Stegostoma tigrinum: one gene and its partner. The protein of the gene in region 1 interacts with the protein of each later gene in a biochemical or structural test. Links are inferred from orthologs where the notes say so. Each region holds a gene or a part of one and is shown on either strand. Other genes may lie near its edges.

Evidence for each region.
Region 2: of the proteins of uba1 (region 1) and ube2h, one has a biochemical effect on the other in vitro, tested with the Homo sapiens proteins (3 studies listed by BioGRID, with this or other methods). The link is inferred for Stegostoma tigrinum from reciprocal best matches to the Homo sapiens genes UBA1 and UBE2H.

What each region holds. Positions count from the first base shown.
Region 1 is NC_081364.1:12,926,032-12,933,707, forward strand, and holds the start of uba1 (ubiquitin-like modifier-activating enzyme 1), read right to left. Parts: upstream 3,009-7,676; 5' UTR 2,892-3,008; intron 1-2,891. UniProt on the Homo sapiens protein: Catalyzes the first step in ubiquitin conjugation to mark cellular proteins for degradation through the ubiquitin-proteasome system.
Region 2 is NC_081378.1:16,356,993-16,364,717, forward strand, and holds the start of ube2h (ubiquitin-conjugating enzyme E2 H), read right to left. Parts: upstream 3,031-7,725; 5' UTR 2,939-3,030; coding exon 2,886-2,938; intron 1-2,885. UniProt on the Homo sapiens protein: Accepts ubiquitin from the E1 complex and catalyzes its covalent attachment to other proteins. E2 ubiquitin conjugating enzyme that transfers ubiquitin to MAEA, a core component of the CTLH E3 ubiquitin-protein ligase complex.

The DNA of each region.
Region 1 (7,676 bases):
TATCTGGAATTAAAGGTCTAATGATGACCTTAAATCCATTGCTAATGGTTGGAGAAAATCCCATCTAGCTCACTAATCTCCTTCAGGGAAGGAAACTTCCATCTTTACCTAGTCTGGCGTACATGTGACTCCAGACCCACAGCAATGTGGTTGACTCATAACTGCCCTCTGGGCTATTAGGGATGGGCAATAAATGCTGCCTAGCCAGCGATGCCCTCATCCTGTGAATGAATAATATAAGTTTTACATATCCCAGGTTACCTTACCTTTAAACTGAAAGCAAAATCTTGCAAATGCTTAAAATCTACAATTAAAAGTGAAAGTACACAGCAAGTCCCCTCGAGGTTTTGTACAGAGAGAAACACAGCTAATGTTTCAGGCCATGACTTTTTAAATCAGACCTGGGAAGTTTTGAGAAATAACAGGTTTTAAGTAAGTACAGAAACTGTGGAAGATGGTAGTGAGGAAAGCACAAGAGGAAAGGGGTGTGATGGGATGCTAGAAGGATGTAACAAAAGGGATAAAGGTATGAGGCAAAATAAGATGGTGACACTCAAGCCAGAAGGAATATGAGGAAGTTAAATCAGAATCAGAGCTACGACCTTGCTGTCCAAAGCAATGGGGACAGTGATCGTGATCGGACATTATTTTACTCCACCCCCTGTTCATAAGGCTGTAAAACACCCAAGCTAGAATATGAGGCCTCTGGAGCTTCTGTTGAGCTTCATTGGAACAGTTCAGGAGGCCAGGGAAAGAGTGGCCAAAGTTGGAGGGAGAGCTGAGAACTAAAATGACAGGGTATTGGAAGCGAGGGTCATGCTTTCAGACTGAATGGAGGTGTTTAGGATGGCAACCCTCCAGTCCATGTTCAGTTGTTGTATAAAGAGAAAAGTGCATGAGGATTAGCAAATGCATCATACTCTAATTCTGGCTCTGGTGATTTGTGCATTCTATCCTCCCATCAGCACCCCAGTCAAATGCTGGAAGGCAACTGAACTATACTGGTTCTGTGTAGGACGATCAATGAGAAGTTTTAAGAGCATTGGATAGATCTGTTGAGTTGGGACTTAAGGAAGGCTTAGAGAATGTGGGGTTTTAGAGAAGTCTGCAAGATATTAATGATTAAGTTCCATTGAGAGTTGGTATTGGAAAACCTGAAAGCAGCATTAGCATGACGCAATCAAACAAGACTAGAGCTCATGATAATACACAAGTGTAGTACTAGCTTGATAAAGTCAGTTGGTGGTGAAAAGCTGGATCTATGCCTGCAAGTAAATGCTGTGCCGGAGTGCAGTTTGCACAATCTAGAGAAGCACAGACCCTTCAAAGGAAGGTGAATATAAAAACATAGCAGTCAACAGAAGTGTCTGTGACATAACGGGTCTTAAGGGACTTTCCAGACCAGATTGTGAAAAGTGAAGAATTGAAATCACTTGTGATATTTTTAAAATTAAATTTGATGATCCATTGTGTCATTAAGCTTTTGGAGGGAGGGATAGCTGAGAAATCCATGGGATATGTCTTTATTGCTTCTGAAATTTGACATGCTCTGTAGGGCAATCAATCACAATTTGTTACCCACATTTGGCTCCCGTTAATTCTGGATGTTAGAATATAATTTATATGTGCGTATATGTACATTGCATTGTATAGTAAAGATTATCATTATCTGTTTAAAACCATGGAATCTTATGACATTATTCTCTGGGAAATACCTGGGATGTGAAACTATGTCAACTTTAAAAAAGTCACTAGTCCCTCACAGATCATAATATAAATTTGGTGGTGTGGTCTGGCATCATAAAAGGTAACATGAGCTTTTGGGTGTCCTGAGATGGGGGAGAGTGCTAGATGAATGGAAATCTTCTAAGGTGTCCCAGCCAGCTGCTTTGCCGAAATAAGGGAAATTTAAAATTTTTAAAATGTTGCAAGGATCAGGAACATACTGTATGAGGGTATAAAGGAGAATTCGACCATAGTTTTCAAGAGGGAATTGAATAATAATGCTGAGAAGGTATTTTCAGCGCAATAAGGAAAGCGACCCCCTGCGTAGCTTCGACAGACAGCTATCAGGGATGCTAGGGGCTGAATGGCCTTGCTTTGATCAGCAATCAATCTTCGACTCAAATGCATCCAATCAGAGTTGACAATCATATTGTGAAGAGCATTGGTGGCGGTCGGATAGCAAATCTGTATTTCTGGCACTACATACAACACCTCAACACAATTAATATTTGAAGGTCTAACAGAGGAACATACAGGGTTCAGATGCGAGTTGGCAGCAACTTCATTAAAACTCACGGGGAATTAACAAAAAAAATCCCCTTTACACTTTATTTCGCTTTCCTTCTTTGACACGATGGGTCGAATGGTCTCTTTCGGTATTGCAACAATTCTGCGGGCATACATCACAAAGTCAACAAATTCAAGTGTAACTTCCCGTCCACGTTGTCAGAATGATCAATCAAAATGGGAAAAGGGAGTGGGGGGAAGCAAAACAATTTGTCAATTTCATTCATTTGTTAAACTGAAGAAATTTGCAGACGGTCCAGTTATCTCATTTCCAATAAATCCACGGAAGCTCAACAACCAAATTTCAACAGGCAGTTTCTCTTTGTAAAATAAAGTCACTCACTCCTACAACAACAGATTGCCTTTCGCCTCAGTGCAATAGGAAGAAGCTTTCATTCGTAAAGGCAAAATTCTGGTTCCAAATTTGAAAACTCAAAAATATATCTTTGGTCAGCTGGTAGATTGTAAAGTCAGTTTCAGTGGAGCAATGATAACCTGAGCTTACCATCCTCAGTAATTGCCTGGGGCACTGTTCTACAGCATTTTACTATAACACGGATTTTGATGGCTATACCAACATATCGCGAACGCTAACGCACCTTAGTTTACTCTCTTGTCCCTGAGGAAGGTGCTTCTGTCCGGCAGCGATACAAATTGCTCCGATCAACTGAATGACACTGCCTGCGCTTGATCTGGGAGAGCGAGCAACAGAAAGGAAACAAAAAGCTTCCTGCCAAATTCTGATCTCTTTAAAAGGGCAACACATTTCAACTCCTGACAGCGTCCTCGTTCAGACCGGACGAGGCTGGGGCGTATAACGGCAGGACCCGGAACCGACCGGTTAGAAACAGACTGTTCCCAACAATTGATGAGGGGTCTAGACTGAAGGGGTCCATGCATTAGAGGCTTATAAAGTCATGAGGGGCATGGATGGGGCGAAAAGCCAAGGTCTTTTTCACAGGGCAGGGCAGTCCAAAACCTGAGGACATAGGTTTAAGGTGAGAGGGGAACGGTTTAAAAGGGACCGAAGGGCTAACTTTTCCAAGCAGAGAGTGGTCCATGTATGAAATGAGCTGCCAGAGGAAGTGATGGAGGCTAGTACAGTTACAGCATTTAAAAGGCTTTTGGAAAGTTTTAAAAGGGGAACGATAGTAGGAACTGCAGATGCTGGAGAATCGGAGATAGCAAGGTGTAGAGCTGGATGAACACAGCAGGTCAAGCAGTATCTTAGGAGCAGGAAGGCTGATGTTTTGGGCCTAGACCCTTCATCACAAAAGGTTTAAAAGGACATGGGCCATTTGCTGGCAAATGGGACTAGGTTAATTTATGTTAACTGGTCAGCATGGTTGAGTTGGACCAAAAGGCCTGTTTCTGTGCGGTACATCTCTATGCCTTTATATACAAAATGAAAAGCCCTCTGTAAAACAATCGGCAGGTGAGACTTCTTTACACACGTTATTGGGAAATTGTAGATTTTACTTCAGGGACAGTGATTCAGGTAGAAATGAAAGCCTGAGCTTTCATCTGTTTGAATCGGAGGCAATGGGACATAATGTGAGTTTTTTTGGGGGTGGTGTTGTATTCAATTCAGTATGGCTGGTTAGCAGTCAGGTTAAAATCAGGCCACATGCTAAAATTCCAGGTGACATTGAATAGGTGAATGAAGGGTGAGGAACAAGGTGGCTGAGGTCCAGACTACAAAATAAATAAGAGACAATTTTGAATCATAGAATCCCTACAGTGTGGAAGTAAGCCCTTCAGCCCAACAAGCCTACACTGACCTTCAGAGAATCCCACCCAGACCTATCCCCCTATAATCCACTTAACCTACACATCCCTGAACATTACGGGCAATTTAGCCTGGCCAATCCACCTAGCCTGCACATCCTTGGACTGTGGGAGGAAACAGGAGCACCCAGAGGAAACCCACACAGACACGGGGAGAACATGTAAAACTCCACACAGACAGTCACCTGAGGGTGGAATCAAACCCAGGTCCCTGGCACTGTGAGGGAGCAGTGCTAACCACTGAGCCACCGTGCAACTTTCTGGGGATAAATATGGATGCAGACTGACAAAACTGAATGGCCTGTCCCCATGTTCTTATTTCCCTGAGATTGGAAGATGTCATGATTTAGAAGAGGAGGGGTAACCAAAATCCACTGAAGGGAACAAGCTAGGCTCATATTCCAATTCATGAATTGTTGCATTATTGTCCTTGAGGTGACACACTTAAACTGAGGCCATGTCTATAAATCATGGTTCATGAAATCGAGGAGTCCTCATCGTGATCTGACAATTATCCTGTGTTCAAGTAACATCATCCAGGTACCTGCTTGTTTATATCATTTCCACTTGTCAGCCTTGGAAGGTGGAAAATGGCTTTCACATTTGCCAGACATGGCAATAACATATGTAAGAATGTTTGTGAAATGTGAGAAACTACTGTGTTCAAATCCAACCATAGCAGATGGGGGCATTTGAAAGCAATAAAGCTTGCGAAGCTGAAGTCTAATGATGACCATTATTGATTGTTGGAAAACCCCACCTTCTGGTTCACGAATGTCCTTTAGGGTTGGAAACAGCCATCCTCACCTGGTCTGGCCCACATGTGACTCCAAACCCACAGCGATGTGGTTGACTCTTAACTGCCCTCTGGATAATTAGGGACAACCAATAAATGCTGTTTTAGCCAGCAGTATACCCAGACTAAGAATGAAAAATAAAATTCACTTTAATAACCAGTAAGCTAGAGATTTGAAAGAAACTCTGACTTATGAGGTTAAGAATGTAAGAAATTACAGCAGGAATGGGCTACATAGTCCTTTCAACGGCCCCAACCATTCAATGAGCTGAGTTGATATTTTATATTAAATTCACTTCTTTCTCTTATGTCCACAAGATCTTCTTGTTGTGCCGTGGTAGTGTCTCTACCTCTGAGCCAAAAGGCCTGGGCTTGAGTCGCCCCTGCTCTGGAAGTGTATATTAATGCATCTGAACAATTAAAAATGCTGGCCTGTTTGCAGCACAGACATTTTAACTAGTATTTTTGAACTGTGCAGCATGTTGAGCTGCCGCTGTTTACATAGTAACAGCTATTGCAGTTTTATTCATGTTCTAGATCAGTGTAAGAAACACGATATCAGGTTATAATCCAACTTGGCGTGTTATTTCTGACCTTGTCCACCCCAGTCCATCACCGGCACCTCCACATCATGGCACTGTACATAAAAGAGACAGGGCATTCAATGATTTGCAACACAAGTTGTTTTCTGAAGAAGTGACACTGGATTCCGAATGTTAACTCTGCTTTCTCTGCACAGAGGCTATGCAGAACACCTCCACTCGGTTCACACTAAATAACTGCACCTCCCAGTTGCGAACCATTTCAACTCCCCCTCCCATTCCGCAGATGACATGTCCATCATGGGCCTCCTGCAGTGCCACAACGTTGCTACTCGAAGGTTGCAGGAACGGCAACTCATATCCCACTGGGAACCCTGCAGCCCAATGGTATCAATGTGGACTTCACAAGCTTCAAAATCCCCCCTCCCCCCACCGCATCCCAAAACCAGCCCAACTCATCCCCGCCTCCCTAACTTGTCCTTCCTCTCACCTATCCCCTCCTCCCACCTCAAGCCCCACCCCCATTTTCTACCTACTAACCTCATCCCGCCCCCTTGACCTGTCTGTCCTCCCTGGACTGACCTATCTCCTCCCTACCTCCCCACCTACACTCACCTTTACTGGCTCCATCACTGCCTCTTTGACCTGTCTGTCTCCTCTCCACCTATCTTCTCCTTTATCCATTTTCTATCCGCCTCCCCCTCTCTCCCTACTTACTTCAGAATCCCCTTCCCCTCCCCCATATCTGATGAAGGGTCTACGCCAGAAACGTCAGCCTTCCTGCTCCTCTCATGCTGCTTGGCCTGCTGTGTTCATCCAGCTCTACACTTTGTTATCTCAGAATGCCCGACCTGCTGAGTTTCTCCAGCAATTTCTGTCTTTTGCTTCAGACTTCCAGAATCTGCCTTTCTCGTTAGTGTTGTTGTCATTGCCACTTTAAGGGGCGGAGCTTATTGTCAGAGACTAAGGTCCAAATTTATTTGAAAACTCCCAGACTGAGAGGAAACAGAAAGTGAAAGTGAAGAGATAATGGGAACTGCAGATGCTGGAGATTCCAAGATAATAAAATGTGAGGCTGGATGAACACAGCAGGCCAAGCAGCATCTCAGGAGCACAAAGTGAAATTGAAATTTTAGACTCCGAATGAATTCACATTTGCTGGTGTGGAAAGCTTATTTGAAGCATATAGCAGAGGGTTTGGGTCAAACGGGAATGCTTTCACCCTGTGTTTATTTTAAAATAACTGATAGAAAAAAGTCGAGCCCAGCTGCTATTATCCTTGAAATGCAGTTTCCTGACATTTCACACTCAACTTTCTGCCGCGTGCGCCCTGCCAATGTCCACACAGCAGAGATGTGCAGATTGACTGCCACTGATCTCTCTCTCTCTCCCTGTCGATGACTCGGTGTCTTCTCTCAATGACTCCCTTCCCACAACAGCAGCTCCGCTCAAGGGTTAATATCCCGATATCCCTATACATAGATGGCACCAAGATTGATGGTGCAGCAGAACAGTGAAGAAGATTATGGAAGATAACAAAGAAGCCATGATCAATTAGCCAATGGGCTGAAGAGTGGCAGATGGAGTTTAATTTGGTTAAATGTGAGGTATTGCATTTTGGTAAATAAAACAAAAGCAAAAATTATACAATTAAAAGTGGGACCTTGGGTAGCGTTGTAGAACAGAGAGACCTCAGGGTTCTTTGAAGTTTGCATCCCATATAGACAGCGTTGTTAAGAAGGAGTTTGGCACACTTGTCTTCATTGCTTAGACCTTTGAGAGTAGGAGTTGGCACATTATGTTGAGGTTGTACAGGACATTGTTGAGACCTCTTCTGGAATACTGTGACCAGTTCCAGTTGCCCTGTTATAGGAAGGATATTGTTAAGCTGGAGAGAGTTCAGAAGAGATTTACCCGGATGTTGCTGGGGAGGGAGGGTTTGAGTTATGGAGACAGGCTGGATATGCTGGGATTTTTTTCACTGAAGTGTAAGCGGTTGAGGGGTAACCTTTTAATTAGAAGTTTATAAAATCATGAGGGATGTGGATAAGGTGAATGACAAGTGTCTTTTCCCTAGGGCCAGGGATTTTAAGAGACAAGGGGCAATTTGGTTTTACAGAGAGAATGGTTTGTGTGTGGAATGACCTTCCAGAGGATGCAGTGGATGGGGTAAAGTTACAATGTATAAAAGATGAGTGGTTAAGGACATGAATAAGAAATGTTTGGGCTAAGCACAGGCAGGTGGGACTAGTTTTGGG
Region 2 (7,725 bases), on another chromosome or scaffold:
GTCTCGCTTCAAATTGAGACATTCCTGGAGGATTGGTATAACATGTTCAAACAGTGATGAAAACAAAACTCCAGTCTACATTCAATACCTTCTCCTGTTTTTGTTCTCCCTTTATGCCATCGATGATAGACCTAGCTATCATAATCCATATAATAATTTTGCAGTCATCAAATTTCTCAGTCAGCACTTGCTTGGCACCCTACTTGAAAAATATCTTGACAGCATTTTAATCAGATGGATGTGCCTTCAAAAAAGGTTAATATTATCCCATTCAGATTCCTTCCACTGACTGGAAACAAGTATAGACACCAATAATCAGACATCATGACTGAGGCACAAGGATGATCATAGTGAAATCAATTATGAACTAGTGCATTAAAGGTAATATCAAGGAAGGGCATAAAGGTACAGATTACAGCAAAGACTCTGGGCCCTGACAACATCCTGGCTATAGTACAGCAGACTTATACCGGGTGCAGCTAGTTCTGGAGTTCATCTGCAAAACGGGATTGACAACCATGTGGAAAATTGTTCCCGTATGTCCAGCCTTTTGCAATCAGGTCCTATAGTATACATTAGCAATTCAATTAACACACTTCAATTAGTAAAATCTAGTGTCAGGAACTAATGTTAACAATGGCGACCGTAAAACTATCAATTATCATAAAAACTCATTTGCTTCACTAACATCCTTTACCTAAGCAAGTCTGCCATCCTCTCTCACTGTGGCATACACGGGACCCCAGACGCCCAGCTAACATGCCTGACAATCCACTGATTTCACAGATGGCCAATAAATACTGGACTTACGAGTGATGCCTTTGCCCCATTAAGGAATAAATGAAAGAATCACATATTTAACTCAATTTTGGCATAAGACCTTAGTTGTGATTTTAGCAAATAAGGTAATGGAAATCTCTGCGGTATGCAGTCACCTCTGACCAAACTTGCCATCAGTGCTGGAAAGAGTGAAATGGCAGACTTAGCCACCTTATAAACATGGTTGTAACCATTTCTGAAGCAAGCTGAAGTAACAGGATAGGCCTTTTTTGCTACTAAGACATAAACATAAGGGGGAAAAATCTCTAGCACTCCCCAGCAGCTACTGATAGATTTTATTTCCAGATATCTACCAGTATTCTCTATCACCTGGGCTACAACAGCAAAAAAATCTTAAATCAAACTACCAATGTACATAATGGGATCATGGCAAAATACACGAAAAATGTTTCCACTGACATAATAAATGGGGCCAACTAATCCTTAAATTATAAATAACTAGGATACAAGATTACTGTGCTTTCTTGTATGAAAATACTTTAATCAGAAAAGTGAACACTAGGAACACAACAGTTCAAAAAGTGTAAAAGATGATAAACAAAATCTCCAGTTAATGACCTTCTAAAATACAAATAGTCTGCAATAACTTTTTCTTAAAGAAAGCTAATTCAAATGATTACATCATTCCCTTGTTCTGAATAAAGTTCTGACAAATTTCTGGTACAGTTAGAAGCGACGGGAAGCTGAACTGCTGTTGATTAGTAATCGGCCGTTTACTGTGTTTGCCCCCACCCAACTAAAGCGCCGACGTCTAAGTAGCCTCTCTTTTGTAGTGTCAGCTGGTGAACGTGTTTGTGTTTTAAGTAAGCTCCTCCTCCAACTCAATTCCGGCTAGTAACAGTACAGCCAATCCGCTCTTTGCAACTAGCATTAGGACCAACAGTTGCTGTCCAACGAGTTCCAGCAGGTAGCACCTTCAAAAAACACAACCCAAAATGGGGTTGGGGGGGGGTGGGGAGATATTAAATATTAACGTATGTGACACAGCCATTTATATAAAAATTTCAATTCCACCATAATAAATTTTAAGCAACCAAAAAATGCCTTTACGAGCCCGAGGAAACCTTAAAAAAAGCAAAATATTCACCAGTCCAAAAATAAAAACAAGACCTCTCAACAACACCGTAAAAATTCAAGACAAAAGTAATACTTCTATCAGCTAATATGGCAAAAACTGTAAGGATGCATTAAAAACGTCACTCAATTTACAAGACAGTCAACATCCGCATTCAAATTCCTTCAGTTATTTTTCCTCTTCGCAACCACCATTCCCTCCCGTCTATCTCTCCTTCCTTTCTCTTCCCCACCACCGCCATAAACCTAGACAGATCAACAGGCCCAAAAGTACCCTGGAAATACACGTCAGACAAATCGCAACCTCCTTTGTAGTTGAAAACACAGAAACAAGGTTTGATGCGATGTGACGCTGCCTATTAATCATAAATCATCTGCTGAAACGTGAAATCTGGCTTTCAAACGTAGGACATACGGCACAAAAAAAAGGCTAGCTTGTTTTTTTCACAAAGACAAGGCCTCATAAGTATCAAGTAAAGAACTATAAACTCGCCATAAATTTAGAATAAAAGCACTACAAATTCAAAATTTCGTAACATACAAAAAAACCAACATAACGTTTTCCCTGAAAATATATTCAACAGATAGAGGAACAAAACTTCAACCAAAAAAAGGAAGCTTTGACATCCGTCACCATGTGAATGTTGTCATTTTTCTTTGATGGAAACCACTGTATATCTCAAAGACCTAACAACCCCTAAAAAAACCCCAATCATAACCATCGCCCGTGTACACACTTAGGGGCATGCTTTACGGATAAAAAAATACCGACTAATGGGCTAAGCTTGTGACATTATATAAAATGTGTACTTTTTTAAAAATATCATCCTTCAACGCAAACAAACGGCGTACTTGATACAAATAACAGGCGAGACAAAGAGTGGGGGGGGGGAAGATGTGGAACATAGGGAGGAAAAAGCGTTAACTGCTGAAGCCCCTCCGACTGGGAGACTCGCTGCTCTGAAGGATACAGTTTGACCACATCGGTGTCCATTCGCCTCTTCCCAGGACTCGGGGAGGACATGTTGGTGCTGCTGAGGAGGTGGCGGCTTTAATTCCTCTTCTCGGGCCTGTCTTCCTCCGAACCACCACCACCACCACCTCCTCCTCCTCCACCCCACTCTTCCCCCTGCTCCCCCCCCCCCAAACCCCTCCGCCGCGTACACACAGAAAAATAACAAAATTCTTTTCAGGTGCAAACGGACAGACGGAACCCCCGGCCCGGGGGGGGTATGGGGGGGGAGAAAAAAGGGGGTAGCACACAAAAAGAATGATAGATATCGAGGTGTATACTCGGACGGCAACGAAAACAAGACGAGGGAAGGGGGGGACAAACTGTGCGTGTGTTTGTGGGTCTGAGGAGATTCGTTCCCCCCCTCTCTTCACTCGGGTGACGCCACTTTGTCCTCTTCAGGCTCTGAGGTGAGTCTCCGCCGGTCCCTGGGGCTCACTTTAATGATCGCTTGTTTAATTCAGCCAGTTCTTTTTCCCACCCCCCTTGCCTCGCAGTTTTCCCTCTCCCTCGACCTCCTCCTTCTCGTTCCTCCGCCTCTCCTTTCTACCTTCTCTCTCTCTCTCTGCTCCTGAACCTTCTCTTCAACCCTCGTCCGTGACGTTGACGTTGTTGTTTGTCGCCGACGCCAGACGCGCCCCCCACCCCCCGCGATACTCCGCGGCCTTCTGGGAATTGTAGTCTTTACCCGCGACAGTTGGAAGTTAAACATTTCAGTGACAACCTTCCTCGAAGCTTTTTTTGATATATACCTGGGTTAGTTCATCATTTAATTGTCTTGCCATTGTGCGTGATGAAATTTAACGAACTTTATGAAAAACCGACAAAAAATCCGGTCATAATGGAAATTTGAGGATAGTGCGCATGCGTTTGCGCCGTCCGGCATGACGGGAGCTGTAGTTCTCCTGAAGCAGCAAGAAATACTTCCGAAGCAACGTAGGGCTCAGAGTCATTAAAGGACGTGTTGATAAAATGTAACTTAGAACCAGGGTATTCTCAGTTAACGGAGCATTGTTTTTATTAAATCCTCGAAAACATTTAACAATGAAAATGTTGAAGGAAAACAAAACATCTGCTTATACATGGAGGGTAGTAGGAACTGTTGATGCTGGAGAATCTGAGATAACAAAGTGCAGAGCTGGATGAACACAGCAGGCCAAGCAGCATCAGAGGAGCAGGAAAGCTGACGTTTCGGGCCTGGACCCTTCTTAAATTCTGAAAGAAGGGTCCAGGCCCGAAACGTCAGCTTTCCTGCTCTACACCTTGTTATCATGTTTATACACAGGCTTTTTCAGCACATATCAAAGTGCTTTACAACCAATGAAGTGCAGTAACTGCTATAATGTGGGACCATAGAAGCCAGTTTGCACCTAACAATGTCTGAGACATCAATGGCCCCCGTGATGAAAGGCTAACTCAGTTTTAACTCTGAAAAGTTAACTCAGTCTCTCTCAAAAGACGTAACTTGAGTTTTTAACAGCTTTTCAGTACTTGTTTCGGATTTTCAGTAGCTGCATGATTTTGCTGTAGTAATCTGTTTTCATGATGCTTGATTAAATTACGTATTATTAGACAGGAGACTAGGATAATGTCTAAGTGGACAAATGATGGTAGGTATAATGCAGTAAATGTGAGGCAAAAATGTGGGGAAACTCAGCATGCCAGCAGCATCTCTGGAGAGAAAACAGGGTTGACATTTGGTGACCCTTAATCAGAACTGAAAGTTGTTAGGGAAAGGTGATTTTTCTGCTAATTACAGGGCATGGGCGTTGGAAAAAGTGAGCAGATAAGTAGAGATGGATCCAACAGAGAAAGAGAAAAAAAATTGGATGGACAAAGGGATCGTAGGTAGTAAGCCAGGGAAGAAGAAAAGCTGATAATGGAGGCAATGCATAGTTGAAAATAGGCTGTCTGTGCTGAAACCAGCCCCTGTCATGACAGGGCTTAGTACACAAAGGTGGGTAAGGACATAGGAGAGGGCGTTCAGGCTCTAGAATTGTTGAACTCAAAATTGAGTCCTGAAGGCTGCAGGGATCCCAAGCAGAAGATGAAAAGTTGTTTTTCCAGCTTGTGCTGAGTCTCGCTGAAGCAGTGCAGCTAGCTCTAGACAGAAATGTCAGCCAAGGAACATAGTCATGCGTTGAAATGGCAGGTGACAGGAAGCTTGAAGTCATTTTTATAGACGTTCCACAAAGCCATCACCCAGTATACATTTCGCCTCCCCAGTGTAGTGGAAACAACATTGTGAGCAGCAAATACAGTGGACTAGTTTGAGTGAATAGCTGATGAATCACTGTCTCATCTAGAAGGTATCTCTGGAGAGTTGGTTAGTGAGAAGGGAGGAAGTAAGCAGGAAAGCATTGCACCTGTTGCAGTTGCATGGGACAGTGCCATGAGGATGTAGGAAGGTGTCAGGAATGGAGAATTAGTGGATTAAGGTGTCCTGGGAGAATGGTCCCTGCCAAATGTTGACAAGGTAGGGGAGGGGAATATGTGTCTGGTGGTGGCATCCCGTTGGTAGGGCCGTGTCAACTAAGATAGTGGTAGAGGAAAAAGGTGGACATGTTTCTCCCTGATGGAAGCTGGCATCATCGGAACAGATGTGACAGAGATGGAGAAACTGGGAAAAAGGAACAGTGTCCTTACAGGAAGCAGGGTGAGGGGATATATAGAGGTGGATGAATACAGCAGGCCAAGGAGCATCTTAGGAGCAGGAAAGCTGTCGTTTCGGGCCTAGTGAAGGACCCTTCACTAGGCCCGAAAAGTCAGCTTTCCTGCTCCTAAGATGCTGCTTGGCCTGCTGTGTTCATCCGGCTCTACACCTTGTTATCTCGGGATCTCCAGCATTGCAGTTCCTATTATCTCTGAGAGGATATATAGTCCAGTTAATTATGGGAGTCGGTGAAGGTGAGAGCAGGGTGAAAAGTTAAAGTGAAATAGGTAAACCTTTCCAATTCCAATTGAGAGAGGAAAGAAGTTCTGATAACATCATTGAAGTATGGAGAAAGAGTTAAGGGGTAGGACTGGAGCAAGGAATGTTCCACATACCACACAAAGAGACAGGCATAACAGAAGACCAAGCAGGTATCCATGACCATTCCTTTGAGCTTAAGTAAGCGAGAGGAGTTAAAGGAGAAGTTGTTCAAAGTAAGCCAGGCAGTGGAGGGTGGTGGTAGATGGGGACAGACCAGGCCTTCTTTCCAGGTAAAAGTAAGAAAGCCCTAAGACCATCCTGATGGGGATGGATGTGTAAAGAGATTGTGCATCCTTGGTATGGGGGAGATGGCTGGTGCCTGCAAACTGGAAATTCTGCAACTGACAAATATCAGAAGAGTGCAATGTTAAGCTGTCAACTTTGGCAGGAACAATAGAAACAGATTATTTCAACAAATAAAGACTACAGAATGCTTTGGTCCCATTCCCATTCTCATTCAGATGTAACCTGTTCAACTTATACAGGCAACACCTCCCCAGAAATGATCCCAATGCCTAACTATTCTAAAACCCTCTTTCCTGCACCAAGTCTCCAGTCACACATTCATCTGCTATAGGTAATAGTAGGGAAATACTATGGGAATAAGTAATCCAGACCTAGCTTTACAGCAAGAAAATGTTTATGTAAATAGTCATCTCATTAATTTCAAGGCAGACGTTGGGGAAAATGCCACTATATTATCAGATAGTGAACCATGATTGAACAACAATATCAATAACTGACAAAAGTCCAGGATATGGTCTGGAGATACAGCATCTAAAATGATCAGTTTACAATTAGCAACTGTCTAACATAAGGGATACATAATTACTTGGAATACTGCGTCCAGTTCTGGGCGCCCTATTATAGGAAAGATGTGGATGCTTTGGAGAGGGTTCAGAGGAGGTTTACCAGGATGCTGCCTGGACTGGAGGGCTTATCTTATGAAGAGAGGTTGACTGAGCTTGGTCTCTTTTCATTGGAGAAAAGGAGGAGGAGAGGGGACCTAATTGGGGTATACAAGATAATGAGAGGCATAGATAGAGTTGATAGCCAGAGACTATTTCCCAGGGCAGAAATGGCTAGCACGAGGGGTCATAGTTTTAAGCTGGTTGGTGGAAAGTATAGAGGGGATGTCAGAGGCAGGTTCTTTACGCAGAGAGTTGTGAGAGCATGGAATGCGTTGCCAGCAGCAGTTGTGGAAGCAAGGTCATTGGGGTCATTTAAGAGACTGCTGGACATGTATATGGTCACAGAAATTTGAGGGTGCATACATGAGGATCAATGGTCGGCACAACATTGTGGGCTGAAGGGCCTGTTCTGTGCTGTACTGTTCTATGTTCTATGTTCTATAATGTGGAACGCATCATGGCTCAACAGTTAGTACAGCTGACTCACAGCACTGGGGACCCAGGTTTGATTCCAGACTCGGGTGACTCTCTGTGTGGAGTTCGGCCTGTATCCACTTGGTGCTCTCGTTTCCTCCCACAGTCCAAAGATGTGCAGTGTAGGTGGATTGGCCATAATAGATTGTCCGTAGTGTCCAGGGATGTGCAGGTTAAGTGGAGTAGCCATGGTAGATATGGACTTACAGGAATAAGGTAGGGTGCTTGGCCTGTGCAAGATGCTGTTCAGATGATCGGTGCAGACTCAGTGGGCCGAATAGCCTGTTTCTACACTGTAGGGATTCTATGATTCTAAAATAGGAGAAAACGTACACATACTTCAAAATCTAGAATTCTCATTCTTAAATATGAATGAATGATTATACTCAGTTTTCTTTAACTGGCAGAGGAAATTAAACTAGTGAAAGGCAAGAAATAAC